4 linked regions of the Caenorhabditis elegans genome follow. The protein of the gene in region 3 interacts with the protein of the main gene of each other region in a pairwise test. Each region holds a gene or a part of one and is shown on either strand. Other genes may lie near its edges. The genes, in order: unc-53, F41B4.1, abi-1 and Y50D4A.4.

Region 1 (7,849 bases), on a different chromosome or scaffold from region 3:
ATATTAAAACTCTATATTATTCCAACTAATTCCCTAGCAAATTTTCCAAAATTATAGTATTTTTACAGTCGATAAAACCCGGCAATATGAGCCACTTTATAGCGCTAAAGTAGTGCTACTGGGGGATACTAAAACAGAATGCCCAAAAGAGAAGCTCGTTTTTTAAAAGGAAATTTCTTTTCTTTTTTTTTGAATTTATGGAGTTGGGGTCAGAACTGGGGAAGAAGAAGAACAGCGCCTAATTGTGTGGAAGGGAGGAATTTTGAATTTTGAAAAAGAAAAATGTAGAAAAGCAAATCGGAATGGTGTCACTTTAGAACGACATATTATAATTTTCAAAAAATAAATCCAAAAATGTTTATATGTTTTTTTTTCTAAACGTTTACTAAACAAATATCATATTATTGTTTTGAAAACGTTCAAGCTAAATTTAAATTAATTTTTAAGAGAAAATCAAATTGAATCACAAACTAAAAAAATCTATCCTGAAATCAAAAATTCTGCCTTATTAGACATCTTCCAACTCTGGGAATGTGTTTGGTTTTGAGTTTTATGTTTGTCTGGTACATGGAAATCTGAGTATCGTTGTTTGATGGGAAGCAGTGAACATATGCTCAAACATGAACAATATGGACTCCCTGCTGGTGAAATGCAACACCTTCGGAGGCCACATTTTTGCGAAACGAATAAACACGTTCGTGGTGGACACAAATTTGATTGGTTTCAAAGGCGAGGGAGGACCCGCGAACTAATAATAATAATGAGAACAAGAAGAGTAAGGAAATTCGGTGGGTGTAGAGCTCTTTTGAGTTACATATTCTATTGTTGCAAAGAATAATTGAGTGGTAGAAACTAATTAGGTAAATTAGGTAAGATAAATTCAGAAATTAGAATTTTACAATATTCAAGACCCCAGAACAGTTTTGAGCAAATGCAAGTTTTAGGTCTTTGTGCCTCGTTAAAAAAAAAGGGCAGTAGATTTATTTTCTGGGTTTTCTGGTGTAGGCATGAGGTAGGCAAGGAAGGCCTAGAATAGAAGTAAAGCGCAGTCAAAACTATTTCTAACAGAACGAAAAAGAAAATGGAAGCCAGAGAACTCATTGCCGAAGAGCTGGAGATGTAGTGGGTGTGTGTTCGCCAAAGGTGAATTCCCTGGACGATGAGAGAGTGTGGGAGACGAAGAGAATTAGATGAAAATGAAGATAAGGGAGAACTCTTTCGCCTCATCTGGAGAATCAATTGGTTTGATGGAAGACGACAGGAGACGTTGTACGTCCATTTCTCAGCAAATTTTAAACCTTTCAGATTGGAGGGGTGGGACGGTGGACACATTTCTTGAAGTTACAGCTAGAAAGTTAATTGGAGTTTCTCAGAAAAAACACACAGATCGTTTCAGAAAATTTATGAATAACGTGTCTGACTACACTTCAGGAGTGGGCTGCAGATTGCTGGTTTGCCGGTTTGCCGATTTTCCCAAAATTTTGATTTTTGGCCAATTATAGCTGTTTCTCGAAAATCAATTTGCCGTTTTTTTTATAAGACGGAAACACTTAAAACTGTGACTTTTTGAATTTTTTTTGCCGTTTTTTCTGGATATTTTCATAGAATTTGCTTACGTTTCAGAATTCAGAAAAAGATTTCCAAAAAAATTTTACAAACCACAATTTGCCGAAAATGTTCGGCACTTGCCGTTTTTTCCGGCAAATTCAACATATCAGCATCTTGCCGGTTCGCCGATTTGCCGGAATTGTTCCATTCCGGCGATTTGGCAACTTGCCGATTTGTAGGAAAAAATCGTTTGCCGCCCACCAATGACCTACACAGTTCGCTCCTATGACTTTCGATTTGAAAAATAATTAGGCAAAGCGATTCGCCGACTCAATGCTGACAATGTAGTTGATTTTTCACATAAAATCTTTTCAGTTCAGTATATCTTGTTCTATAAAATAACAGTTACAAAAAAACCATCCAAACCTTTATAGAATCCACTGCCAAGTTTGCGGAATTCATCCGCGGAAGGGTGTCCATGAATCCGCATAAAATGTTTTCTACTAAAGCCACAAAGCTGCTCCAAAACGCTTCGAGGTCCTCTCCAGTTCATAACAAACCACGCCCACATTTTTGCCCCTCACAGCTGCCTGCGCGGTAAAGAATCAGTGTGAATGTGTGTGTGACTGCACTTCTGATGACGAGAAGAGAAAAGAACACCACATCAGTTAGTTAGTAAGAATGAGCTAATTATACACTGCTCATTGGAACCCCCACACCGTGAGCATTAACACTGGATTACGTTGCACCCGGGGAGAGGAGCTCCAGTGGTTCCGGTTGTAGGGAAGAAAGCGGTAAACATGCGGATATATTTAGATGTGCTCGCAAACTGATTTGAATTAACTGAGAGCCACTCTTTTCGGGAAAAGAAGACGAAGAAGAAGATGGACCAGCCGCGAAAATAGAATGGTAATTATTTCGAAGTGTGAATTTATTTGCATTCAATCTTAGACCGCCATAAGATTTCCAGTGGTTCCGGTTGTAGGGAAGAATGGTCATGGAATGGGCACTTATGGAGTTGAAAATAGGATTTTATGAATTTACTTTTAAAGCCTTTGAAAAATTTTTTAATATTAACTCTCTGGTTTGAATTTGGAAAACTGATCAAACTAGAGACTCGACACTGAATTCCAGAAAACCGAACCGTTTGTTTTTCTGATTTCACCAATTTTTAATGAGTGATCGCCGACTAATCGGGTAACATTAAAACGTAGATATTCATATTAAATTTTTCTAAAAATTTTCCGGAATATGAAAGTTATAGTAAGTTGCAATTATCCATAATATGGTTAACATCAAACTGAGTACCAAAACTTTTCAAAAATTTCAAATTAATATCAATTTTATCAGAAAAGATTATTATAGACAACTAGATGAATATGTAGACAAGGTACTACTTACGCCTAACCCTTGCCTACATACCTACTGCCAAATATTTTGTAAATCTACACATGTGCAAATGAACTTGGTATGTAGGCACGTAGGCAGTAATATGTACCTACCTACCTTGAGGAGCTCTTTCAAGATCTTATGAAAAATCTCCAAGCTTCTTGGATAATTGAAAATTGACAAATTTCGACAGAATTGACAGACATGCATCCTTTTATTGGAAAATACACAAAATCACATTTTTCTCAATCCAATGTTAAGGGTTTTAATCGAAAATTTGTATAGAAACAAAGAAGAACATACATGTTTTGTTCTCAAAAATTGTTAAAATCCAAAATCTTCCAGAACACTCCCTACATCTCAATTTCCCATTTCCTTCAAAACTTCAAAACTTCCCATAAGTTCTTCAGTACAATTTTATATGTAATCATGAGTTCAACTACTTTTGAACTTGAAATGCATATCCTCCATCACTTCTTTTCCATCCCGCTTCTTGACTTCCAATTTTGCATGTTTCGGAACGAAGCGTCAAAGCAATGCATATGTTAACAGGGAAAAGTGGCATGAATACCATGCCACCAAAACTTTGCTCCGGGAGCCCATCTAGGAGGAAAATAGAGGGGATAATTAGTTTTCAAAAGCAGCTTTTCCCTCCTCCTCCTTCCGTTCGTTCCCATTTTAATTGGTATGCTCAACACGCGGTGAGCATCCTCTCATAATCAGGGACACACACAAGTGAATGCGACAGCTTCGTGCCAATAATTGAATCATTTCGTTTTGCATCACACCAAGAGAAGAAGAAGAAGTAGAAGATGATGAAGCACTTTTCAATTCAAGATTCACCTCGGGGCGGCGGTGGCGAATCATATTTCGACGGAAATATAGGAGGCAGGAAATGGGATGAACCAAATGGGAAAAGCTACTCTGGAACGGCTTGAGATTATTCAAATCGAGTTTGGATTGAGAAGGCTCTTTGGGAAGACAGAAAAATCCTTTAAAAAAAGTGTTGCTCCGAAAGAATTGTGATTTGGAAGAGGATTTCTTCCTCGAAATCTGGGGGTACCTACCAGTGCTGTGCGGCAAATCTCAAAACTTGCAGAGCTCGGAAAATTTGATAAATTTGCAGTGCTTAACAAACTCCGAAAAATGTCATATTCTTTGCAATTTTTTGGAGCAACAAAACTACTGAATTCTTAACAAATTGTATTGTCAAATTTTTTACGTGCGCGGCAAATTTCAAAATTTGCCATGTGCGGCGAATTCGGCAAATCAACTTTTTTGAAATTTGCCGGGCTTAGCAAACGGCAAATTCGGCACATTTGCCGCACACCCCTGGTACCTACTGAAATTCTAATGTTCATTTCAGAAAGATCTAAAAATGTGCAAAAACTATTTTAAAAAATTAGAGAACAATTAATTTTTTCCGTTGGAAAGTTCTACTTGAAATTTTGAAAAATAGAAATTTTGCCTAATCCCCGAAATCTAGGACACCTTCATTTCAAAAAAAAAGTATCCATTCTCCGTGTAATCATTGTACTTTTCCAGATTCCTCTTCCCCGAAAAAATGCTCAAGATCCCCCCAAAAAAAAACCATCATCCATCAACCGTGTTGCGTTTTCTCTGCAACTCTGGAATTCTAACAATCCCAACTCTTTCCCTCTAAAAAAAAGTGGAATCATAGTCCCATGAGGATTGAATTTTGTCCATTTCTACTAGTGAGTGGATGGGTACTCATAAAAGAGTAGTCAGTAGTACATTTGCATAATCTGACACAGAGAGAACTCACTGGTATCAATTCTACATTTGACGTCGTCATTTTATTCGGAGCACCAACATTTCGTTCGATGGAATTGATGTCTGAAAATTTGGAAATGATATGATTCTGCATACAGAAGGACTATGAGATAAGGGCAGAAAACGAACAAAAGTGCTGAAATTGCCGATTTCCGAAATTTTTGAAAACCGGCGATTGCCGATTGCTGGAAATAAAAATTGCCGGAAATAAAAATTTGATACTTTTGTAGATTTAGGAGCCTAAACATGCATTTTAACAAACAATTTTCAATTTTCAAGTTCAAAATTATTTAATCCTAAAAGGATTGATCGTTTACTTTCAAAAAATGACTAACCAAATACTAATAAACAAGGTTAAATATGTTTGATTTCCAAAATATAACTATGTTTGAAAATTGCCGAAGTTGCCGATTGCCGGAAGTTCCAAAACCGGCAATTGTTTAAATTGCCGATTGGCGGAAATTTCCAATTGCCACGTGGGACCGCAAGATAATTTTAAAAGAACCTTCCACAGAAAATTAATATAAACAATGAATAGTAATAAATAACAATTTAGCTCAAAAAGATGCATATACACTGACTACTCCAAAAATGTGCTAATTCCATTATACAAACCCAGGATGGAATAAAAACTAGAGAAAATGGGCAGGAAGCGGCGACGCGGATGGGGATTAAACAAACATGGAAAAGTGAGAAGAAAAGGAAAAAAAGAGACACCGATCATGTCGTTGTCACATTGTGGATTATGCAGAAGGATGATGACAGAACTACAACACCTTCATGGGCGGCCTAAATGATTTGTTTAAGGGTCTCATAAAATATTTTGGTAGCAGGGAAAGGAGGAGAATGAAAACTATTTGTTGGTGGTAGAATATGATTATAGAGCGTGGGTGTTTTGTTGGATAATAAAATTTTTATGGTTGTTTGGAATTTTCCTGGTAGCAGGAAAATTGGCAAATCAAACCGTTTGAAAATTTTAGCTGTGAAGTTCCAGCTAGAAGGTCCCCCTTAAAAAATGTTGAGGTTACCAGAAACTGGTAAAAATTTCTGATGAGGATTTGAACAATTTTCAGTTTTATAGAAAATTTTCATATGTTTTTGGAAACGCTCTGAAACGCTGGCTTACTAGGGATTTTTGTAACTGTGCGGTAGCTGAAATTTCGGGTTTTCAGAATCTACAATTTGTTCTAGCAAAATATCCCTGTGAGTCTGGAAATTTTAATTTGAAAAAAAACTATTCTCAGAAACTATACTCTATTGATGCTGATAAAATACAGTGTACACTGAATAATTTTGACGTGGCACAAGACTCTGCAATTAAAAATCACATTTAACAATGTGATTTTTAATCTCTACAGCTCTAGCTGATGGTATCATGGTATTAACAATACTTTGCCAAAATTGAAAACTCAACTAATTGTAAAAATACAGCCGAATCGGAAAGATGACAGATGCGCAACAGGTTGCTCAATTCGGTCATGTGGAAATTGGCAGATTTTGTTTTCTGTGACCTAGAGAAATTTTGAACTGTAAGCATAGCTGGCGAATTTTCGGTTTTTAGTAGTTTTGGAAATGGTATGGTACATCTGGCGAGGCAATTTTGACAATATTGGTAGCTGCCAAAATTTCAAGTTACTTGCCATTTCCAGCAATTTTTAAATCTAACTATATCTCAAAGTATCATAAAATTGCCAGAACTTGAATATTATAAAATTGCCAAAACTGTAAAATACTAAATACATGCATTTTTCGAAACAAAAATGGCATCTAGATCTAGATTTACAAAAAAATAAAAAAATAAATGTATTTCCTCCTTTAGTATTGTACCTGGTTAGTTTAATTTGAAAGGTGTACACCTTGGTTCATTTTGAAACAGCGATAGAAAAATAACTGACACCAGTTGACAATTTTTGTATAAAATAAACGACAACAGAGATATAAGCTGTCAAAGTTAAAAAATATCTAGAAGAAATAAGGTATTTATAAGAACTAAACCATCCTTGCTTTTTGCAAAAATGTGGGAAATGTATAATATGAAATAGTAATCGTTGTATAATTAAATAGTTAGCCTCCTGATTCCAGTTCCGAAACTACATAAAGCTTGCCCAACCACCCACAAAGAAATAATCATTGCCACATGGGCTATCGGGCTAAACGATGTTTTTTTGTTTCCAACATGACTTGGGATCCTAGTCCAACAAAAACTGAAATCAAAATGGAAAGTTTCCGGAAAAGACCAGAAATTGCACAATTCTGGTTCCTTTGGCACGGCCGGAGAGAATAGACAAAATTGATGAGCCAAAACAAAAAGAGAAGAGCCAGGCGGGTGAAGCTTGTTGCTCCGAACGTCCAAATCGAGTTAGTTTTCCCTCTTTTTGGAAACGAAAAGACAGAGGGCAGAAGAAGAAAGAGGAAAAGAAAAACCCGAGTAACGGAAACAAAACATGAAGTGCTGAAAAGAAAGCGAAAAAAAAAAAGAAACAAGACGATGATGATGAAAACACTTTGGGAATACTAACCCAATGTCTCTCCAAATGTTATTTATATCATTAGCAGCAACTAGTACATTTGTAGAGGAAATTCTTGGAGTACAAAAAATACCAAGAAATGGTTTTGTCGCCAAAACCTAACGAGACCAAAATTTTAGGGGCAGTGTAGCGCCGTTGCACCTCGATGATTTGATAGACAAAAGTTGTTCCAATATTTGCATTTATGCTGATAATGGGTCCCGCCGCGCTTGTTTTTAATTTTCATTGAGGAATTTCTAATGCCATAAAGTTATTTTACGAGTTCCAAAAATTAAACCAACATCTTCGTGCGACCCATCTGATTAAAAATTTGAAAATAACACCTGGACCACATGGTGCCAGGTTGTCCCATCACGGTTTGATCTACGAAAAAATGTGGGAATTTTTTCGCCCAAAAAATGTTACATAAGTTCTCAACCATATCAGTTGATAACTCTGCGTCTCATCCCCGCATTTTTTGTAGATCTACGTAAATAAGCCAAAATGGGATACTCTGACACCAAGTGGGATGTTCAAATCTCCACAGTCCTTGAAAAACGGTCAACTAACAATTTGTTGTTTATTATGTTGTCAGCAACTTTCCAGTTGAT
Region 2 (7,142 bases), on a different chromosome or scaffold from region 3:
TCATTGATATTTCAAGTATGTTGAAAATTTCAACCCTTTCTCTTGTTCTTTAAAAATATTTTTCAAAAATATCGATCATGTGTACCTCTTGAGCTCATAACCATCAGCAGCAACAGTTCCATCACCGATTGGGGAATAAAACATAGTTCTTGGCTTAATTGCTTTGGGAAGTTGTTGTGGAGAGTTGATAACCTAAACATAAATATCTATTTTTGCGAATGTCATTGAAACTGCTCACTTCTCCTCCAGACCAGTTAAAGCCGGTCAGCTCAACTCCACTTCCAGCACGGTCGCCGAATCCTCCAAAACGGATTTCCTCCTTTTCCTGACTAGTTTGGGAGCGATTAGCACGACTGTTCATCGCGTGGCGGGCAGTTTCAAACCGATTGTAATCGTCCTGGAATTCATATATTTTGTTCAAGTTTTCCAAACACTTTGCGTTTTATGAACTATTCAATTTTGATTGTTGTGTTCTTATCCCGCGTGGGTCGCCGAAAAAGCAATGAAACGGATACGTCATTGAATTGAGTATTGATCGTTGAGACAACGATGCTCTCCTTCCCGCCATCGTCTCATCGAGGGATCCAAAGATATCTGTTTCTGACTTTACAACACGGAATGCAGTGAGCTTTGTTTTGCGCCTACGCACCCAACAGACGGAAAAATTTCGGATTTATCGTAGCGTTTTTCATGATTGATTTGTTTGGAATCAAGTTCAAAACAGAATTATCATAAATTGATGTATCAGTTTTTAATACCAGGGTAGGCCACTAAGGAAATATAAAATAACCGTTGACATACAAGAACATTAATTTTGGAAAAAAACATTTTTGAAAATACAGAAATTCTACTCTGAACTAAAAAAAGACGGAATAAGTGTTTTATATACAGTAAAAAAAATATGGGTCATTCAAATAGTTCTTGAATTTCACGCCGAAAAAAACGAAAACTTGAAAATATTTTAAAATTTCGAACTGAATTAAAAAAAAATCTACCAATCAAATAAACGAACCCTATGTTTTCCAAGGGAAGCATAAGAAGGACTTCCGGTTCTTTCACGGAAGTTACTTAAATTGGCAGCGCTGCCGTACTCAGACATGTTGTTTGAGTTTGGATGTATTCTGAAAACAGTACACGTCTTTCTCCAAAGTTGGCAAAAAATGACAGTTACAACAAGAGAAAAGTATTGAAAAAAGTTGAGAATCAGAAGGATCAAGAAAAATGATGAAAGCAAAAAAAGAATTTGCCACGCGACTCTCAATATCTTTATGCCGTTTCTTGTCTTTCTGTCTCGGGCCGAAGAGCAGGACGAAAGAAAACGATGGCATCGGGAATCGGCGGCGAGTGGGAGGAGGGAGAAGAGATATCATTCGATAACATATGGCACAACGGCACTTCTTCTCTCTTGTTCTTTATCTCTCAGCAGACGATCTTGCGCCGTTCGGATCGGTGGTTTTGAAAAATTGATGAAAAGGTGCACAAAACAAAAGAGTTCTCACAGCAGCTAAATTATCTTCGAACTTTTGATTGGATCCAAAGATCAGTTGGTTAAGATTTTTAAATTGTGAAAAAAACTGTCCATCAATAATAATTATTAAAAAATAATAAGAAAATCGGCATTTGTTTGATTGTTTCATGATATCATGAGACTTGAACTGTTATTCCTAATCCTAAACCCGCATTGTTTTCCCATGACTGGGCGGGTTTCTCCAGATGACTATCGAGTTATGAAGTGGATTTGGTTTGGGGTGTAACATTTTATTGTACACATATGCTTTCGACTAATTCTTGCGAGAAAAGAAAAGAAAACGAAACACATAAAAATACGAACAGGCAGAAAATTCTTGACCGGGGAGAAAAGAGGAAAAAGAAAATTAACAGTTACGTAGAGCACAATTTGAAGCTTTTGAAGATAATTGGCGTGCAACAATTTTAAGAACATTTTTCTGAAAAAAAATTGCAAGAAAAATTTGAAAAAATTATACATAGAATATCGAGGAGTTAATAAGTAGTGGTGTAAGTCGTTGTGTGAATCGTCGAAGCCGGACGATTGTACTGTTGATGAACATGTCGGCTTGTAGATGTGGATTGATGTAGACCTGGAGACAGTGAACGCGCACGTTCCTGATCGAGCCAGCTCACTCCTTTTCTGCAAATAGATTTTGTTTAGGAATTCAGGTTCATTTCTTATATTTGTATTAGCGCCCTTGGCAAACCAAATAAAGTATGTACCAATGAAATAAATTTGGCGTCTTTTTTCGGTTATTAACTATTTTAAGAATCTTATTTAACATATAATAGACTCTCCAGAAAAGAGGTTATATTTTTGGGACAGTGGCAAAAATTACCAGATGAGACATTTAATGTCATAACTGTTATTTGTCTGTCTGGATTCACTAGACAATTTCATTAATAACAAATAACTCTGAAACTTAATTCATGCTGTAATTGACAAGAGGTGTCACATAGCCAAAAAATTCTGATAGTTTTTAAAGAGCTAGTTCAACGAGTTATGTAATTCAGTTTTACCTTAAATTTGAAACTATCTTTCTATACATAATCTATACCATATATAGTGTATTTTTAATGAATCTATACATAGTGTATCTTTAAATTGTCTAATAAATGAAATTTCTGCCAAAGAAATCATTAGCTTGAAATTATATTTTCTGTATTTGTATATTACCTCTTCAAACTGCTGTATGGGCTTGTTGGCGGGAGAGTTGATGTATGCTTCATGCCACCTTTCAGTGTTCCATAAGTACTTCCAGTTCCGACATTGCTCATACTTCCATATTGACTCTGACTGCCTCCATATTGACTGTTAGCATTTGAGCTACCATATGTTACACTTGTTGGGTGGTAGCTGGTAGTGGAGGTCGTATTTTCGGTGTAATAATTGGTGTTGTTTTGATGTTGTGGTGCGGGTGCTGGTGGCGTCGCGTGGCGATGATATTGCTGATACTGCGGCATTTGATGAGGAAGGGTGTGAGATTGAGAATGCGATTGACGGGTCAGAGTTGAGTTTGCGGATTGGTTTTGAGAGTATGGAGCGCTCATCGCGGACCCAACACGGGAGCCTGGCTGACTGATCATTCCCGTATTTCCGATGGAAACCTGACCGGCTTTGATAAGGTTCTCAATAAATTTGTTGTCGGATAAATATTCGAGTCCAGGAAATTCTGCTGTATAATTGTGTCCGTCAATATTCGGGCATACTGGTAAGTCTCTCGGATTAATTCCTTGCTCAATTTCAACGTTTTTCTCGCGATTTTGTGATCCCAAAAGTTTGTCCATCGAGCTATACCGCTCGAGAGTTGAAGATGGACCACGGCTCAAACTTCTTCTCATTTCTTCATATTTGTGAGATGGCGTCTTACGTGGAGGAGGCGGTGGAGCTGTAAAAAATTGGTTATGTTAATCTAGAATGCTGTAATTTTAACTCACGAAGTTCCCTCTCTTGGTATTGAATTATATGAGCATTGTTGTCGATGAATCGTTGAAGCTCTCGATCTTGAGTGGAAGAAATTTCATGTCGATTCAATAATTCCACACCATTAATGCAAATTTTGGTCTGAAAGTTTCGAATACAAAAAACATTATTAAACTAGAAATTTGGTAGCTTACATCATTGTGATAGTTGTTCGGTAGATAGGTCGAATAGGACATTTCTGAAATGTTGAAGTAAAATTGAAGAAAAGTGAAAAACAGAAACGAAGAAAAGAAAAGCAGAAAACTCTTTGGCAGTGCCAAACCTATTTCGCGACGGTGACAAAACTTTGATGACTAGAGACACAGGAGAAGAGTTCAGATGTCGAAGAGGTTCAGCGATAGAGCGTGACGGTGTAATGTGGGTTAGAAAGAAAAGTTTTTGTGCTTCTATCTGTTTTTTTTTCAGTTGTTGTTTGTCTCGTCTCACTTGTGATCGCTTTTTTTATCTTCTTTCTACCAGCTCTTTGCTACGGGCCACATCCATTGTGTGGGAGGTAACATCTGTGCATGGTTGTCGATCAGAAAAGCATTTTTCTCATCTTCATTTTTCACCGTGGAGACTGGTTGGTGTCAAATGTTTTTCCCGTGTTAAAAGGGATTTGATGAACTGCTCAGAATAGAAAAATGCGAATCTAGTGGTAAAACAACACAACAACCCTAATGCCTTACTGTCATGGTTAATTTGACAAAATGAAATTTTAATGTTTCGGTGCACACATGCATAGGTTGCCTTCAGAAATTGACAATTTTCCCATTGATTTGTCTACATAGGGCATCGAAAAGCACCCAATATTTAGAGAACAGAAGATTTTGAGAATTACTGCCTTCAGAAATTGACAATTTTCCCATTGATTTGTCTACAAAGGGCATCGAAAAGCACCCAATATTTAGAGAACAGAAGATTTTGAGAATTACTGCCTTCAGAAATTGACAATTTTCCCATTGATTTGTCTACATAGGGCATCGAAAAGCACTCAATATTTAGAGAACAGAAGATTTTGAGAATTACTGCCTTCAGAAATTGACAATTTTCCCATTGATTTGTCTACAAAGGGCATCGAAAAGCACCCAATATTTAGAGAACAGAAGATTTTGAGAATTACTGCCTTCAGAAATTGACAATTTTCCCATTGATTTGTCTACATAGGGCATCGAAAAGCACTCAATATTTAGAGAACAGAAGATTTTGAGGATTACTGCCTTCAGAAATTGACAATTTTCCCATTGATTTGTCTACAAAGGGCATCGAAAAGCACCCAATATTTAGAGAACAGAAGATTTTGAGAATTACTGCCTTCAGAAATTGACAATTTTCCCATTGATTTGTCTACAAAGGGCATCGAAAAGCACCCAATATTTAGAGAACAGAAGATTTTGAGAATTACTGCCTTCAGAAATTGACAATTTTCCCATTGATTTGTCTACAAAGGGCATCGAAAAGCACCCAATATTTAGAGAACAGAAGATTTTGAGAATTACTGCCTTCAGAAATTGACAATTTTCCCATTGATTTGTCTACAAAGGGCATCGAAAAGCACCCAATATTTAGAGAACAGAAGATTTTGAGAATTACTGCCTTCAGAAATTGACAATTTTCCCATTGATTTGTCTACATAGGGCATCGAAAAGCACTCAATATTTAGAGAACAGAAGATTTTGAGAATTACTGCCTTCAGAAATTGACAATTTTCCCATTGATTTGTCTACATAGGGCATCGAAAAGCACTCAATATTTAGAGAACAGAAGATTTTGAGAATTACTGCCTTCAGAAATTGACAATTTTCCCATTGATTTGTCTACATAGGGCATCGAAAAGCACTCAATATTTAGAGAACAGAAGATTTTGAGAATTACTGCCTTCAGAAATTGACAATTTTCCCATTGATTTGTCTACATAGTGCATCGAAAAGCACTCAATATTTAGAGAACAGAAGATTTTGAGAATTACTGCCTTCAGAAATTGACAATTTTCCCATTGATTTGTCTACATAGTGCATCGAAAAGCACTCAATATTTAGAGAACAGAAGATTTTGAGAATTACTGCCTTCAGAAATTGACAATTTTCCCATTGATTTGTCTACAAAGGGCATCGAAAAGCACCCAATATTTAGAGAACAGAAGATTTTGAGAATTACTGCCTTCAGAAATTGACAATTTTCCCATTGATTTGTCTACAAAGGGCATCGAAAAGCACCCAATATTTAGAGAACAGAAGATTTTGAGAATTACTGCCTTCAGAAATTGACAATTTTCCCATTGATTTGTCTACATAGGGCATCGAAAAGCACTCAATATTTAGAGAACAGAAGATTTTGAGAATTACTGCCTTCAGAAATTGACAATTTTCCCATTGATTTGTCTACATAGGGCATCGAAAAGAACTCAATATTTAGAGAACAGAAGATTTTGAGAATTACTGCCTTCAGAAATTGACAATTTTCCCATTGATTTGTCTACAAAGGGCATCGAAAAGCACTCAATATTTAGAGAACAGAAGATTTTGAGAATTACTGCCTTCAGAAATTGACAATTTTCCCATTGATTTGTCTACATAGGGCATCGAAAAGCACTCAATATTTAGAGAACAGAAGATTTTGAGAATTACTGCCTTCAGAAATTGACAATTTTCCCATTGATTTGTCTACATAGGGCATCGAAAAGCACTCAATATTTAGAGAACAGAAGATTTTGAGAATTACTGCCTTCAGAAATTGACAATTTTCCCATTGATTTGTCTACATAGGGCATCGAAAAGCACTCAATATTTAGAGAACAGAAGATTTTGAGAATTACTGCCTTCAGAAATTGACAATTTTCCCATTGATTTGTCTACATAGGGCATCGAAAAGCACTCAATATTTAGAGAACAGAAGATTTTGAGAATTACTGCCTTCAGAAATTGACAATTTTCCCATTGATTTGTCTACAAAGGGCATCGAAAAGCACCCAATATTTAGAGAACAGAAGATTTTGAGAATTACTGCCTTCAGAAATTGACAATTTTCCCATTGATTTGTCTACAAAGGGCATCGAAAAGCACCCAATATTTAGAGAACAGAAGATTTTGAGAATTACTGCCTTCAGAAATTGACAATTTTCCCATTGATTTGTCTACAAAGGGCATCGAAAAGCACCCAATATTTAGAGAACAGAAGATTTTGAGAATTACTGCCTTCAGAAATTGACAATTTTCCCATTGATTTGTCTACATAGGGCATCGAAAAGCACTCAATATTTAGAGAACAGAAGATTTTGAGAATTACTGCCTTCAGAAATTGACAATTTTCCCATTGATTTGTCTACATAGGGCATCGAAAAGCACTCAATATTTAGAGAACAGAAGATTTTGAGAATTACTGCCTTCAGAAATTGACAATTTTCCCATTGATTTGTCTACATAGGGCATCGAAAAGCACTCAATATTTAGAGAACAGAAGATTTTGAGAATTACTGCCTTCAGAAATTGACAATTTTCCCATTGATTTGTCTACAAAGGGCATCGAAAAGCACCCAATATTTAGAGAACAGAAGATTTTGAGAATTACTGCCTTCAGAAATTGACAATTTTCCCATTGATTTGTCTACATAGGGCATCGAAAAGCACTCAATATTTAGAGAACAGAAGATTTTGAGAATTACTGCCTTCAG
Region 3 (7,855 bases):
CCAGGCAAAAAAAAAACACATTCCGATGAAGAACTCTGAAGCTCATCTTTGAGCTCGTGGAGCCAAGAAAAAACTCAATGAGCATTGGACAGCTGGAGGGCAACACCAACAGCCGGAAAACAAGACATTTTAAAACTTTAAAAATTCTTTTATAGAAATAAATGTCGGCGATATTGCCGGTGTGGTCTTTCAATTTTTATAAAATAAAACCTATCCATTTTGTTGGCGTTTCCTCTTTTTTGGAAATTGTTTTTTCTTCGGATAAAAAATTATCCACAAAATTTTGATAAAAATATGCAAATGTTGGAATTTTCATTTATTCCGGGAAATTAAAGAACGTAATAACAGTTTTATTTGGAAAAAAAAGTTGCAACTTTGATCTAAAAATTTTTAACAGAAAAATCCATACAGTATCATCTATTAATCTCATAAATCAACACCAAAACTGAAAAATAAAGTATCTGTATCAAAAAGCACACAGACAGAGAAATGTTTACAGGCAGTCTAGTTTGTTCACATTTTGACGTAAATACTCAGTCATTGTCGTAGGTACTCAAATTTACAATACGATTAAAATTTTCTTGATTCTCAGCGCTAATTTTTGATCATTTACCGGAATTTATTGGTGTCAGTGAAGTTGATCTTGTTAACACGGAAAAACGGAAAAATTCTACAAAAATGTCAGACTTTTTTGGTGAAAATGAATTGATAAAAATTGTGATTGATAAGGAAAATTGGTGGTGAATTTTAAACTGTGTGATTTTGATCTGATCTTTTGCAATATCTGGTTAGTTGACAATTTATCATGTTTCTGAGAGCATATTCCTCAGAATTAAATTTGTTTTTATTTTGCTAGTTGTCAACTTTTTAGTGAATCTAAAAGTCTAAAAGGTTTTGAAAATGAAATCAAAATGCTTTAAATTCTTTTTTAAATCGAATTTTCATTTTCTTAGAAACGGATTTCCAGAAAGGAAGAATAAAAAACTAAATCCAAGAAACAGGAGATTTTCGCCAGAACGATTTTTTTTGAATAACTCAATTTGTGGGGATTCTTTGAAATTTGGGCCGGTCTGGAATTGAAGATTTTATTATTATTAATAGGAAAATTGCTCGATTCAGATTATTGAAATAGTCTTGAAAATATGAATGTTGAATTATTGTTGAATATTTCTGAAAAAAAGGCTACTTGCGACGTGGCCTAGAAAAAGAGAACAATCGGCCACCAATTTTTTTAAATACTAAATAATCTGTCTTTTAGTGATTTTTCTCCGTTATTACCAATATTTTTCATTAATTTCTTTTTTTGGCAAAAAACTTGAAAATCAAGGGATAAATTGAGGTACCGTTCTCGTTTATGCAACGTGGCCTAAAAAGCAGAAAGTTCGGCCACTAATTTTTTTTGGCATATTGAAAGAAAATCGGCCATAGATTTTTTAAATGAGCCTTTAAAACTGATTTTCGATCACTGAAACAACGAAAACAAAAAGAGTAAAGCAACTTGAAGGTTTTCAAATAAAAATAAGGAAGATGCTTGAACTCTTGTTAAAGAACATTCCAGATAAATGGATTTTGCAATAAATAAAATAAAATAAAAACAGGTGAGTTCACATAAAGATGTCTATTTATAACTATCAATGATGACTCTGGGGTTTACTATTTCCGAGGGTTTTTTGCGAAAGAACGGATCGGTAGCCGCCCCTGTGAAGAGAGAAAAAGATTGACGAAATATGTAAATAGAGAATAGACAAGTTGGTGAGCTCTTTCTGTTGTGTGTGTGAGAGAGATAGAGAGAGTACAGAGAGTACAGAGATATGGAAAGACGTAAGAAGAGGAGCGTACCGACGTCACGCCCTGGTAGGGGAGGGGAGAAGGGACACAGGACACTCTGAAAAGATAGAAAATAGAGAAAAAAGAGCCACAAGAACACTGAAATGAAATGTGCTTTGGTTTAAAAATAAGGGAACTTTTGAAAATTGAAAATACTGAAATGCGCGTATGGAGCACCAAAATTTCTTTGCAATTCAGATTGCAATTATTACCAAGTTGCAAGAAAATACAAAAAAAATAACGGTACCCGGTCTCGACGCGACCGAGAGTTTCGCAAAAGAGAGTGCGCCTTTAAAGAGTACTGTAGTTGCGAAATTCTGTTTTACGCAATTGTGTTCAATTATCATCGATATTTTTTCTTTTCGAAAAATTAGTTTTTCGAAAAACAGCTTTAAAAAGGGGTGGATAAAAATTGCAAAAAAAAACTGAGAAACTACGGTAATCTTTAAAGGTACACACTCTTCTATGCCTGAAATTTCCGGTCGCGTCGAGACCAGGTTCCGTAGTTTTTCGTCAGAAATTGTGTTTAATAGCAACAAGATTAGATTTCATTGTTATACAAGAGTTAAGGTCGGAAAAAAAATGTTTATCAAAAAATAAATATGCCAATTCAAATTTGTCCCATGAGGTATTTGAACCGATTTAAATATAATTACTGGTACTTTTTGTATTAGATGCTTTTGAATGGAAGATTAACCGCAGTTTAAGAGCACCAACAAAACAACAAACCGACTTTTCTTAATTGAGGTCTCGTGTTTTTCGAAAAAAAAAACAATGTTTTGTTTTTCTGACTGAAATGTTTCTCGAATTTTCCAATTAAAGCGAATTTTTGTTTCTTTTTATGAGCAGAGTACTCTGCAGAGTTTCATATTTTAAAGTTAAAAGATAAAAAAATACGGTATGCGGTCTCGACACGACACTTTTTTGCTAAATAAAAAGGGATGTGCGCCTTTAACGAGTACTGTAGTTTCAAACTTCCGTTGCTTTTAAATTTTCATGGAGTTTTCATGCAGCATGCAGCAACAAATTTTTGAAAGTACTGAACTCTTTAAAGGTGCACATCCGTTTTTATCCAATAAAAAATTGTCGTGTCGAGACCGAGTACCGTATTTTGGCGCAAAAATGACAAAATTTTGCGTCTGTGCAATAGTTAAGGTCCCACCGCGATCCAAGTCATCTTATTGGAAATCGCGCGGGAATTTCAACTGTTCAAGAATTCTGCTTGTATTTTTGACCTTTGTTCCTCCTCTAAGAAAATCTGTGTCCACCGCCCACCAAAAAAGATACAATTCCCACGCCTTGCAAACTCTTTGGCGTCACTATTCGTCGTGCCGAACATGAATTATTTAAAATTCTAAAATAGAAGAAAAAATAAACTAGAGAGGAGAGGAAAAGAAATAAGAAGGCACAAAAATATAAGAAAATGAATGAATGTGTGTGCATGAAGAGAAAATGAGCAATCTCATTAAATAGGCGAGCCCCTAGGAAAACCAAAAGAGAGTAGTACGGGGGCAGTGAGAGAACGAGCACATGCGTTCAGGAAATGCGTCGAGACTCGAAAATAGCAGTCGTATTGGCTATTTTTAGGCTTCTCACTGCTGCAAACGAGGGGACCACTGCTTCCTTCATGATTACATATCCATCGTTTATTTTTGGCTTTTCACATACAAGTACTCGAGGCAAAAGGCAATATATGAATATGAATAAAAGTGAGATTAAAAGCAATTGATTTAGCAGGGTTAGCATTTCTTGTTATCATACTGGAACTACGTAGTTTCCAGGGAAAAGCCCAGTGACTCCATCCAAGACACCTTCATACCAGTCGTCATCGTTCTTTTTCAGTACGTAGACAATTGCGTTCTCGCGAAGTGTCAACTCGTCTTCTTTTGCAGCATCATAGTCGTACAGGACCCGTACTGAAAAAAAAGATTGGTTTTTTTCGAAAATGTTTAAATTGACAAATATAATTGCTTTGTAACATTAAAAATTCTGCAAAAAATCGCATTTTACAACTTAAGATTTCGATTCTTTTTGGATTTTTTTGATACTCCGATGTTTTTAAAGGAAATTTATTTTTCGTTTTTTTCGAAAATAAAAGCTAAAAAGATAACTTTTTAAAAAATCAAAGCTTATAATTTTCAAAATTTGAAAATTCTCAAAAAAAAAAAATTTGGAGATATTTGAATTTTTCAAAATCACTTTCCAATATCACAAAATTTTTTGTTTTTTTCTCTTTTTTAAATTTTTATTAAATTTAATTTTTTTAAACTTTTTTCGGTTTTTATAATAAATTTTTCACTAACAATTTTAGCCAATTTTCTAAATCGTAAAATAATACAGAAAAGCTTAGAGAATTTTTTTCCGACAATTTTTCAATCAAATTAAAATCTCCAAAAATACCTTTTTCCAAATACTCGTTGGGCATCCATCCAGCACTCGTATCAAAGAGACTTGGTGGCTGACTCGAACTGTACGATTCTGTTCTACCAGCAAACACTCCATACGCTGATGACCCACCAACTGATTCTGGTGGAGGTGGTAGATCATCCATATCATCTTGTGTTGGCATTCGACTTGACATTCCAGTGAGCAAAGAATTTGGTGGAGGTGGAAGATCATGTCGGTTCACCGTTGATTTTCGAATAGTTCCATAATTTTGTTGTTGCATTTGTTGTTGTTGTTGTTGTTGTACCACACTTCCCGGTGCAACATATCCAGTATAATTCATAGCTGGTGGTGGAAGTGGGAATGTTGGTGATTCTGGACCTCCAGCACTACTTTGTGCAGATGATAGTCTGGGAATAGAAAAGCTACCATCCACTGTAGTCCGACCACCAGCTCGAATAGTTCCGTAACGATCAGGTTGATAAATGGAATTATAGTCTGATGATCCGTGTTGACTTCCGCTTCCACCACCACCGCTCATATGATCTCCGAACTCTGATCCGTGGCTCATTTGACGGCCGATTCGTGATTCTGATTGTGGTGTGACCTGTAAAAAGTAATCGGATTATGTTAGAAAAAACTTGATTAATTTTTTGAAAAGGAAATGAGCTGATTTTTTAAAAATTAGTTGTTTAGTCTGAAGTCGACAAAAACTAGCCTGAAACATTGAATTTCATAAAAAGACTTCTAAAAAATTTCAAAATTAATTATGTGATTATTCAATAAATACTGTATCTAACTGCTGTAACAAGGATTTCAGATTCTTATTCAGGCTCGCTCTAAATTTTTTTTCGATATTTTCAGAAGTCTCATTATGAAATGCGGTCGTTTTGGGTCAAAAAAACCGTTTTTTGAATAAATTTATCAATGGTTCACTTTTTTTTCAATATTGAGTGTATTTTTCAGAAAAAAAAGTTTAAAATTTAAAATGTATAAGTTATGTCAGAATTTTTCGCTCCCTTTTTTTTTTGAAAACGTTTTGTCAAAAACACGAAAAGCAAATTATTTTCAGCCTCTATGAATATTTCAAATGTTCACCTGTGGCAACCGATAATCCGATGGAGCAATTGATGGAGCATACGGTCTCATTGTTCTTCCTAACGTAGCCGTTCGTTCACCAGCATAAACTCCATACGCTGGAGATTCATTGTGAAATTGTGATGGAGAACTGCCAGAAATTGATGAAGTTGCTCTTGAGATTGGTGCTGCTCTCGGTGGATCCGATGTTCTGACACCATGCCCTATTCCGTCAAGAACAGAAAAATCGATGGGCGTTCGTTGATATCTCTGCTTTTCATCTGGGATTGCTGGTGCAATGATTTTGGGTTGCTTGAATAATGTTTTATTGGTTGTGAGAGAACCAATTTCTCGTCTTGCAAGCTTCTCTTTATGTACATCAACTACTTGGCTAACATATTGAACTTGATTTGTTAAAGAGTTCACTTTATCGGTTTGTAGAGCAAGCATATCGTGTAAATCTCTGAAAAAAAGATTCATAATTAAAACAAATTAATTGAAATACTTACGTAACCATCTTGTTAATCTGGTAGGCTACGCTGGCGAGTGCCTGGATCGCGAATTTCTTGGATTCCTCTAGCGCAGCAGATTTATTCTGAAAACGTTTAATTCATAAACTTAAAAGAAAAAATTAAACCACACGTTTGATTGTATATAATTATCCTCACAATACGCGGCAACTTGTTGAAGATTCGCATGACTCGTTTCCAGTTGAGCTCGATTATCGGGTATCCGTCGCTCGATGAGCTCTTGAAGATCATTAACACTCATTCCGCCTTCCCCATTATGTAGCATCTGTAACAAACTAAAAGTTAACTAACGTTTAGAAAAATATTTTAAAAATAATAAATTGACAGCAGAAATTTCATGAAAAACACTCAAAGGAACTGAATGAATAAGAAATTAATGAGGGCGTGGTCACAGAATGCAACGCGCGGCGCGCTTTTTCGCAAGTGGTACGCACATGTTATTTCCCGCGAGGAGAGCATATCGAATAATAGAATTTCCTCGGATATATTCAAATTAAATCGATATAAATCATATTTCCTACTAAATTTCTGAACCAATAATTCTAAAAATGAGCTCCAATGACGTTCTCGCACAAATTGCCGGTCTGGCGAAAGCTGCAGCAGAGGTTTGAAATTTGAAATTTTAATGTATTTAATTTTTGTATTTTTTTCAGCTTGAAAATGATTTCTCGACGGATAGTGAAATGCAACAAGATTCCGAGATTTGCGATGAAGTCGATGCGGAGCTTTTTGACGATTTCGAAACAAAGGTACGCTTTTGAATAAAGAAAATTTTAACAAAGTTCCCAGAAGTTGCAGCCATCATCTCGAAAGGAAAGTTCAGGAACGAGCCGTCGAACGAGAATGGCACACCGAGAGCTTCAAGGCCTCCAGTTCGCGAATCCAGGAGATGAAATGTCTCGATTTTTGCCCGACTCTGTGGATATTATTAGCACCAACCGCTCGAAACGTGTAGCCGCGGAGAAGCAGGCGGATCTGAGAGACGAACCTTTGCATCATGACAAAACAGGAAAACTTTCGGTTACCGCAAAAGGACAGACTTTGTTTTTCGATCTTTGTGATTGTCTCGTGGTGGAGTGTGATGGGTGCCATTGGCCATGTAAGCAGTGCAAATGTAAGAGATGATATTCATTAACTAAAAATATTTGTTCTAAAAATTCTTTAAACAAAGAAAAATGCATTTTTCAGCTCGCAAATGTCTCATCGGATGTCGTCAAAATCGAAAAGAAATGGTGATACGCGTCGAGGAGATGTACACAGTGACGGAAGCCCCGGGCCCTGTTGTCAATATTAATCCTTATTTTCCGGGCCAAATCAAGGATTAAATGCCTTATCGTTTTATCAATTTTAACCTCTTATGTATGTTCCCCTTTTTCTTGTACTGGTATTATCTATTTTGAACTGTTTTATACATGTCTTTGTGAAAAATTCAATCTCGATGTTCATTAAAAACTAAAGATATTGTTTGTTTTTGTTCTTTTTTGTCATACTAATCCATAGTTTCTCGGTTGATAATCTGAAAATATATCTGGCATCTTCTCGAGAAAAATTTAATCCAACGATATTTCAGAATCTTCCAGAAATGTCGTCATACGCTCTTTACCGAGGGACCACACTGGGTCAGGCACTCGATAAAACTCTTGAGGACATGGAATCCGAAGGACTTCTCACGAAATCTCTTGCTTCGAAAGTTCTGCAACAATTTGATAAAAGCATGAACAAGCAAATCTCGCGGCTTCCAAAAGAGAAAATGAATTTTTGTGCGACACAACTGCTCACTTATCGATATTGTGATAACGTTTGGACGTTTATTCTCAATAATGTCACGTTGAAAGATCCCCAGCGATCGTTTGATGAGCCTATTGATAAGTGAGTGTTTCTTTTATTTGTATTAAAAATAAAAAATCTAGAAAAAAGCAATTGTTTATTAATTTTCTATAAAAATTTTTGTTTCTCGATGATCTATAATTATTAATATTTCAGACTGAAAGTGGTCGCCTGTGATGGTCGTCAAACAAGCCTTCTGCAGACATTGA
Region 4 (7,807 bases), on a different chromosome or scaffold from region 3:
AAAAACGGAAAATTTTCGGTTTTTTTATAACATCGGAAAATTAAAATTTTTTGGCGTTTTTATAAAAATAAAATCGAAAAACTAATTTTTTTCGAGTTTCGAGATTTTAAAAATCGAAAATTAATCATTTTCCATTTTCCGATATGTTGGTTTTTTCTTGATAAAATCGATTTTTTTTTCGATTTTCAAAAAATAAAATTCGGTTTCATTTTGTTTTTCGATTTAAAAAAAAAACGAAAAATTTTCGTTTTTCGGTTTTATGAATAAATTTGGAAAATTTTTGTCTTTCGTTTTTTTTTATCGAAAAATGTTTGTTTTCCGATTTAAATAAAAAACGAAAAATTTTCGATTTTTTAGAATAAAATCGGTTTAATTTTTTAAAAATCGAAATTTTTAATCGAAAAACAAACATTTTTTAATTTAAAAAAAAATCAAAAATTAATAACTTTCGATTTTCCGATATTTTGAATTTTTTTTTCGAAAAATTGATGAAAATTTTAGTTTTTTTTTTCATCAATTTTTTATTGATTTTTCAATTTTTCAGAAAATCAATAAATTTTCAATGTAAACAGAATTTGGTAAAAAAAATCGAATTTCAAGTTAATTTTCTAACTTTTTTTTTAATTTAAAAAAAAATTGGAAAATTTTTTCGAAATTTCGAATTAGTTTTTTGATTTTTCGAAAAATAGATTAAATTTTTGAACATGTGTTGCTCCTTTTTTTAAAATTTTTTAAAAATAATTTTCTGAAAAGCTCCGTTAGTCGTCGTTCAAGTACCTATTGTGGTGACAACAAGAGGTGAATGACTCTTGCTCGGCGAGCTGACTCTTATATCAAAAATCAGCGATTTTTGCGACGCCTGGTGATGTACAACGACCAAATTATCGATTACATGAATACCACAGCCACCATTGAATCCTGAAAATTATTTTTGATTAATTTTTTGTTTATTTTTATAAATTAAAAAAAAAATTTAAATTAATTTTATTCAGCACCTAAAATTAATGAATGCTTGAAACTGGGTCCTGTAGCCGCATCAAATGGCAATTCATAGAGATCGAGCACTGTGGCGTTCCGGTTACTGTATTTGAACACTAGCACATAAACTCTGCCATATCTGAAAAATAGGAATAATTGTTTCAATGTGGAAATCCCAATTGTCGTTCGGCAAAATTTGTCGATTTGCCGGAAATTTTAAAGTCCGGCAATTTGCCGATTTGCCGGAAGTTTCAAATTCCGACAATTTGCCAATTTGCTGGAGGTTTTCAATTCCGGCAATTTGACCGATTTGCCGGAATTATTCAATTCCTGCAATTCGCTGATTTGCCGGAAATTTTAACTTCCGGCAATTCTGGCATTTTGCCGATTCGCCAGAAGTATTCAATTCCTGCAATTTGCCGATTTTCCGGGAATTTTTAATTCCGGCAATTTGCCGATTTGCCGGAAATTTAAATTCCGACAATTTACCAATTTGCTGGAGGTTTTCAATTCCGGCAATTTGTTGATTTGCCGGAATTATTCAATTCCTGCAATTCGCTGATTTGCCGGAAGTTTCAAATTCCGGCAATTTGCCAATTTGCTGGAGGTTTTCAATTCCTGCAATTCGCTGATTTGCCGGAAATTTTAAATTCCGGCAATTCTGGCATTTTGCCGATTCGCCAGAAGTATTCAATTCCTGCAATTTGCCGATTTTCCGGGAGTTTTTAATTCTGCCAATTAGCCGACTCGCCAGAAGTATTCAATTTTGGCAATTTGCCGAATTTTGCCGGAAGTTTTAAATTCCGGCAATTCTGGCAATTTTCCGATTTGCCGGAAGTTTCAAATTTTGGCAATTTACCGATTTGAGGGAAATTTTAATTCCGGCAATTTGCCAATTTGCTGGAGGTTTTCAATTCCGGCAATTTGTCGATTTGCCGGAATTATTCAATTCCTGCAATTGGCTGATTTGCCGGAAATTTTAAATTCTGCCAATTAGCCGACTCGCCAGAAGTATTCAATTTTGGCATTTGCCGGAAGTTTTAAATTCCGGCAATTCTGGCAATTTGCCGATTTGCCGGAAGTATTCAATTTTGGCAATTTGCCGGAAGTTTTAAATTCCGGCAATTCTGGCAATTTGCCGATTTTCCGGAAATTTTAATTCCGGCAATTTTCCGATTTGCCGGAAATTTTAAATTCCGGCAATTCTGGCAATTTGCCGATTCGCCAGAAATATTCAATTCCGGCAATTTGCCGATTCGCAAGAAGTATTAAATTTCGGCAAATTGCCGATTTGCCGGAAGTTTTAAATTCCGGCAATTCGCCGGAAGTCCCGTTTGCCGCCCACCAACTATAAATTGTAAAAATCCGGAAAAAATTGAGTTTTTTAAAGCTAAAAATCGTAAAAATTCCGGAAAAATTGGAGTTTTTCAGTTGAAAATTGTAAAAATCCGGTAAAAACCGGTAAAGAGTTTTTGAGTTAAAAATACGTTGATTTTCGTTCATTTTGTATCCTTGCCCAAAACCTTCGATTTTATCCATTTAAAATAATATTTTTCGTTCAAATTTGCGCGAAAAAATTGTGATAAAGCTTTTAAAAAACTGCAATTTTCAACGGCAAGGGTCAGCAAACGCGCTCCATGGAAGCGATATTACATCGTGGCAATCGCCGCGTCTTTTTCCAGAAAGTTCTCCTTCGATATGGATCCTCCAAAATCGACTTCAAACCCCTTCATTCTAGTAAACTGGGAGTGCGTCACAACGAATGGCTGAAGATATGAACAAGACTGGCCATTTGCGATGAGAAGCAGCTGACTGGGCGCCTGAAATTTATGTGTTTAAATTTTAAATTTAAAGGTGGAGTGCGCCCAGTGGGGAAATTACCGAAATGGCCTAAAATCATGGTTAAAAAATTCAAAAAAAAAATTCTAAATTATATATGATTTTTTGAAAATTGAAAAAATCTCAGATTTTGCCTAATTCCTATTTGAACTTCCGCCAATTGGATTTGTTCGATGGAGCGCGCTTGCATGTTTTTAAATTTATTTATTTTATTTTTTGTTATTTTCCACCGATTTTTAATGTTTTCGATGTATTTTTGCTTGAATTTTAGAGAAAAAGTCATGATAAATGCAAATTTTCGATTAAAAAGCACGCTCACAGGCGTAAATTAGTGAAATTAATTATATTAATAGGTTCGAAATCGTATAAAATCGTTACTTTGTCATTTTTACGCCTGTAAGCGTGCTTTTTAATCGAAAATTTACATTTATCTTGGCCTTTTCTCTAAAATTCGAGCAAAAATACACCGAAAACAATAAAAATCGGTGGAAAATAAGAAACAAATAAAATAAATAAATTTAAATACGTGCAAGCGCGCTCCATCGAACAAATCCAATTGGCGGTAATTCAAATAGGAATTAGGCAAAAACTGAGATTTTTTCAATTTTCAAAAAATCATATAAAATTTATAAAAAAGTTTCCAATTTTTTACCATGATATTTGGTCGTTTTGGTACCATAGGCATGTTTTAAAGCAATTTCTCCACTGGCGCCGCCAAAATCTTGACAAATTGTTCGAATTTACATAATAAATTGCCCATGCAGCGTTGACATTTGTCGCTTTTAACAATTTCGACGACTTTTTATCCTCATTAATGTATAATAATTCGGCACTATGGTTGTTCACGAGGAGGAGCTGCAAAAATCGATTTTTTCAGGCGAAAATTGATTTTTTTACAATTTTTTTTCGCTCCAACCAACCTGATTATTAGTGACCCATTCAACTGCCAGCAATGGTTCTTTCGACTTTGTGTTGACTGTTAACTCCAAACACAGAGAAGTCTCGGTTTTTTCCAAAAAAACCACGTCTGCGGTGGTTGGGGTGCGTTGCATCGCACAGAGCCGGCCATCGGGCGAAAATTTCACAGTAGAAGGCTCCCCGCGATCCTTTGTTCGGACATTCATTATTTTATCGTTTTTCAGCGATTTCGAAGTGAGTCCCAGCGCCCCGTTGTTCCTCATTGTGCATATTCGCTGGCTGGAGCAGTCGAAAAAGTTGCGCGTGATGTTTCCGTCGTGAGAGGAGCGGTCTGGTTCGAACGGGATGAATGAGGCGCCAAGTTCGAGCATTTTTTTTAATGTTTATTATTTTTTCTGCAAAAATAGATAAAAAATAACCAAAGAGAAAAAAATGTCGTCAATTAAAATGCAAAGTACGCAAACACATTGCGGACTTTGTGCGGAATTTCGGAGTGTCGTTGTTTTATATTTAATTTTAATTTATATTTCTTAAGAAATTACGGATTTTTGCTTCCAAAATGTCCAAAATTAATAAATTTCACATTAATTTTCAGATGGACGAGTCGAAACCGGTTCAAATATCAATTTTCAATGTCATCGCTGTAATCTGTTCTGCAACATTTGCGATTTATAGCTCACAAATTGTTTCCACCATTTCTAGCACGGTTTGTTCGATATTATTACTCTAAAATCACAAATATATATTTTTCAGATCAAATCACTGTCCAAGCCAAAGCCCAGCCCAAAAGTCGTCGCGTTGAAGCTAAAAATTGCCGATTTGAAGCGAGAGCTGCACGGAATCTCTCCGACCGCCGAATTTGCACGATATTTCAAGAAGGATCGAGAAATGAATAAAGCCAGCGAAGAATTAGCTGCTTTGGAAGCCGCTAGCCCGTCTGAAAACTCGAGGAACTTGAAAATCGACACAGTTGTCAAAGTTTTTATGCAATTCTCCGCACTTTTTCTTCTGAGACACGTGTCCGCCATCACTGCCTACTGCATTCCGGATACTATTTTTTGGCCTTTCAACGTACTTGTTCGATTCCCAGCGGTTTTCGGAAATGACTCCTGCCCGGCCGGTATGAATTAATGAATTAATTATTTAAATATAAATATTTCTTTTCTTTTTTTTCAGAATTCGCCGAAGTTTCCGGATTCGCGCTCACATTTCTGATGATCCATCTGCTAAATCTGGCGCTCAAGACATTCAGAAAATCGGACCTGAAGACTGATTAATCTAATTTTTTTTTAAATTTTGTTTTTTCCTGTTTCCTGTTTCATGACTATTTCTCTCGACTCGGGTCTTTTAATATTTTTTTTTTGAATATACAATTGTATATTCAAATTGCGAGCTAATAAAATGCTAAATTGACACAAAACATTTCTATTTCTCAAAAAAAAAAACTGATAAAAATCGTAAAAACACGCTGAAAAACTGAAACGCTCCCGTAAATCGACACCAAGTAAGCGCGCTCCACTGAGAATTTCTTTGAGGCCCCACGAAAAGGGGAGCAGAACGAAAAGGGGATCTGCAAAAAGGGGATCTGCGAAAAGGGGAGATACGAAAAGGGGAGCAACGAAAAGGGGATCTGGCACTGTGCCAAACGCTATTTTTCTCGAAGAAAACGATACAACGATGCTCCGATGTTACGCGTCGCGTGTTGTTAAGCGTATCTTCTAGAAGAAAATTTCAAAAATCAACGTGCGTTGCGTGAGAAAAATTGCGTTTTGTGCGTTTGGCACAGTGCCAGCTCCCCTTTTCGTTGCTCCCCTTTTCGTATCTCCCCTTTTCGTATCTCCCCTTTTCGCAGATCCCCTTTTTGCAGATCCCCTTTTCGTTCTGCTTCCCTTTTCGTGGGGACTCATTTCTTTGCGCGCGCATTTAAAAAACTTAAGCGGGCAAAAATGAAATTCACTAATTTTTTGAAGATAGTTATTAGGACTCAGAAGCTAAATTGGATATTCCGCCTTTAAAATACGCGTTTATAAGTAATTAATCTAACTTTCAGACTAACTACCGGCTTTTTTCAACATCTTCGCCAAGAATTTCCACTTCAAATCAAGCTATTTATTGATATCACGATTCGACATAAAATAAATGAAAGAATTTTACACAGACAAGGAAGAGCTATTCGATCAATAAAGGGCGAGAAGTGGATGTGAAGAAGAGCCGACGATGCAGATGATTACCATTGCTGAAAGTAATAAATTATGCAACTAGCGAATTTTGAAAATTCAAAATTCTAGATTTTCCGTTTTTCAAATTTTAGAAATTCTATAAAATCGAAATTTTTTGATTTTTTTTTTGTTGAATTTTTAGAATTTTAAAATTCGAAAACAGAAAATTTTCAATTTTTCACGAAATGCTGCTCGTTTTCTCGGCTTTGAAAACGAACAGAAAGGCTTGATGTATATTGCGAATAGAAATTCGTTTCCTATTTTCATACCTCCTCCAGTTTCGGGACTCTCGGACCGGGTGCATCGACATCGACATTTCCATCAGCATCTCCATTATCATCGCTATTCTCATCATCGAATCCATCAGAGTCATCGGACGCGTTGGCTCCACGGGCTTAATTGTAAATGTATTTCCCGCGATTGATTTTCCGTCATAATTCACTCTAATTAGTTATTAAACGCACTTTTTCATTGATTTTCCGCCCTAATTTTCAAGTTTTATCGATCTGCGCTGTTAGAATTGTTTCTAATCAAACCAGGGACCATTTTTTTTATATTACCCACTCTTTCCGTATGAATCTTGAAAATTAGGACGCAAAATCGATAAGAAAGTATATTTAATAACTAATTCGAGTGAATTACGATGGAAAATCGATCGGGAACTACATTACAAATTTAATTTTAGTGAAATATGAAGCTAGAAAAAACTAGTTGTTCTCTAGGATTACTATTTCTGCTGGGTTTCGAAAAGAAAGTTTGCCGAGTTTTGTGTTGAGAAAGTGCTCAGGAGGTGCTGTAGGGTTGCTGTAGTCGGAGAAAACTGATTTTTTGGGTCTTCTGTGCAGAAAATTAGCTGGGTTTGACGTATTCTAGAGTTATGTTTTACGTTTTTCAATTTTAAGTTTTTGAACATTCTTAATTTCAATAAGTTTAATGTTAAAAAAAATTTAAAAAAAAACCTTCTTCCTGTCGGCGTCTCCAATGTTTGCGGTGCCAGTCGTTGTGATTCAGCCGGACGGCCTGCTGGCCGGTCGTTGGACGCGGTCTTGGCAGGGCCCATATATGGAACACAAAATTATGAGAATGCGTATTGCGCAGCATATCTGACGCGCATAATTCAAAAATCGAGCCCTCGAATCGCCACAACCACTACAGTAGTCATTTAAAGAATTACTGTAGTTTTCGCTACGAGATATTTTGCGCGTCAGATATGTTGCGCAATACGCATTCTCTGAATTTTACGTTCCCGTATCAGAGCTACAGTAATCATTTAAAGAATTACTGTGGTCTTCGCTAGGAGATGTAATGTGCGTCAGATATGTTGCACAATACGCATTCTCAGCATTGATGGTCTCGTAAAACGCCACGCACGGGGGGGGGGGGGGGGGGGGGCGGGGGACCTAATGTGGCCTAGGCCAAGGGTGTGCGGCTGGTACAGCCAGCCGAAAAATTTGCTCTGATGGGGCAAAATTCGGAAAATTGGCGCCGCCAGCCGACAGCCGCCGATCCGTGGCCGAGGTTACTGCAAGGAAAGCATCTGCAGAGATTGAAGACACACTGAATGGCATGTCTATTATGGCATTAGTACGAATTAAATAATAAAATAATTAGAAAATTCATGCAGGGCGCTCATGTGATCTCCGGAACGGCGCCCGCGCCGGCCTCAGCAGTCGCCGCGCCTGCCACCCACGCCGCATGTACAGTGCGGCGCGGAACCCCGAACGTGTCGGCCGCTCAGCGGCTACCATAAAGTCGCCACAACGGCGCCGCCGCCGGCCTCAGCGGTCGCCGCGCCGGTCACACGCTGCATGTATAGTGCGGCGCGGAACCCCGAACGTGTCGGCCGGTCAGCG

What was found.
Region 1: the proteins of abi-1 (region 3) and unc-53 interact in a two-hybrid assay, tested with the Caenorhabditis elegans proteins (one study listed by BioGRID).
Region 2: the proteins of abi-1 (region 3) and F41B4.1 interact in a two-hybrid assay, tested with the Caenorhabditis elegans proteins (2 studies listed by BioGRID).
Region 4: the proteins of abi-1 (region 3) and Y50D4A.4 interact in a two-hybrid assay, tested with the Caenorhabditis elegans proteins (2 studies listed by BioGRID).

What each region holds. Positions count from the first base shown.
Region 1 is NC_003280.10:11,084,663-11,092,511, forward strand, and holds the start of unc-53 (Adapter protein unc-53), read right to left. Parts: upstream 4,754-7,849; coding exon 4,724-4,753; intron 3,639-4,723; exon of another isoform or gene 3,443-3,638; intron 1-3,442. UniProt on the Caenorhabditis elegans protein: Involved in the migration and outgrowth of muscles, axons and excretory canals.
Region 2 is NC_003284.9:6,822,148-6,829,289, forward strand, and holds F41B4.1 (ZM domain-containing protein), read right to left. Parts: upstream 3,716-7,142; 5' UTR 3,670-3,715; coding exon 3,628-3,669; intron 3,575-3,627; coding exon 3,448-3,574; intron 3,399-3,447; coding exon 2,687-3,398; intron 2,150-2,686; coding exon 2,002-2,149; 3' UTR 1,738-2,001; downstream 1-1,737. Other genes in the region: gei-15 (GEX Interacting protein), read right to left, coding at 86-192, 239-397, 1,013-1,099.
Region 3 is NC_003281.10:5,686,647-5,694,501, forward strand, and holds abi-1 (SH3 domain-containing protein), read right to left. Parts: upstream 6,085-7,855; 5' UTR 6,061-6,084; coding exon 5,932-6,060; intron 5,885-5,931; coding exon 5,799-5,884; intron 5,753-5,798; coding exon 5,311-5,752; intron 4,820-5,310; coding exon 4,228-4,819; intron 3,744-4,227; coding exon 3,583-3,743; 3' UTR 3,461-3,582; downstream 1-3,460. Other genes in the region: arle-14 (ARF7 effector protein C-terminal domain-containing protein), read left to right, coding at 6,368-6,424, 6,473-6,568, 6,609-6,933, 7,008-7,144; B0336.13 (Transcription initiation factor IIA small chain homolog), read left to right, coding at 7,402-7,688, 7,803-7,855.
Region 4 is NC_003283.11:1,191,988-1,199,794, forward strand, and holds the start of Y50D4A.4 (Mic1 domain-containing protein), read right to left. Parts: upstream 4,141-7,807; 5' UTR 4,107-4,140; coding exon 3,738-4,106; intron 3,673-3,737; coding exon 3,562-3,672; intron 2,799-3,561; coding exon 2,632-2,798; intron 1,118-2,631; coding exon 996-1,117; intron 919-995; coding exon 778-918; intron 1-777. Other genes in the region: wrb-1 (Guided entry of tail-anchored proteins factor 1), read left to right, coding at 4,085-4,096, 4,331-4,441, 4,489-4,855, 4,912-5,012; Y50D4A.6 (uncharacterized protein), read right to left, coding at 5,963-5,971, 6,224-6,348, 6,914-7,055.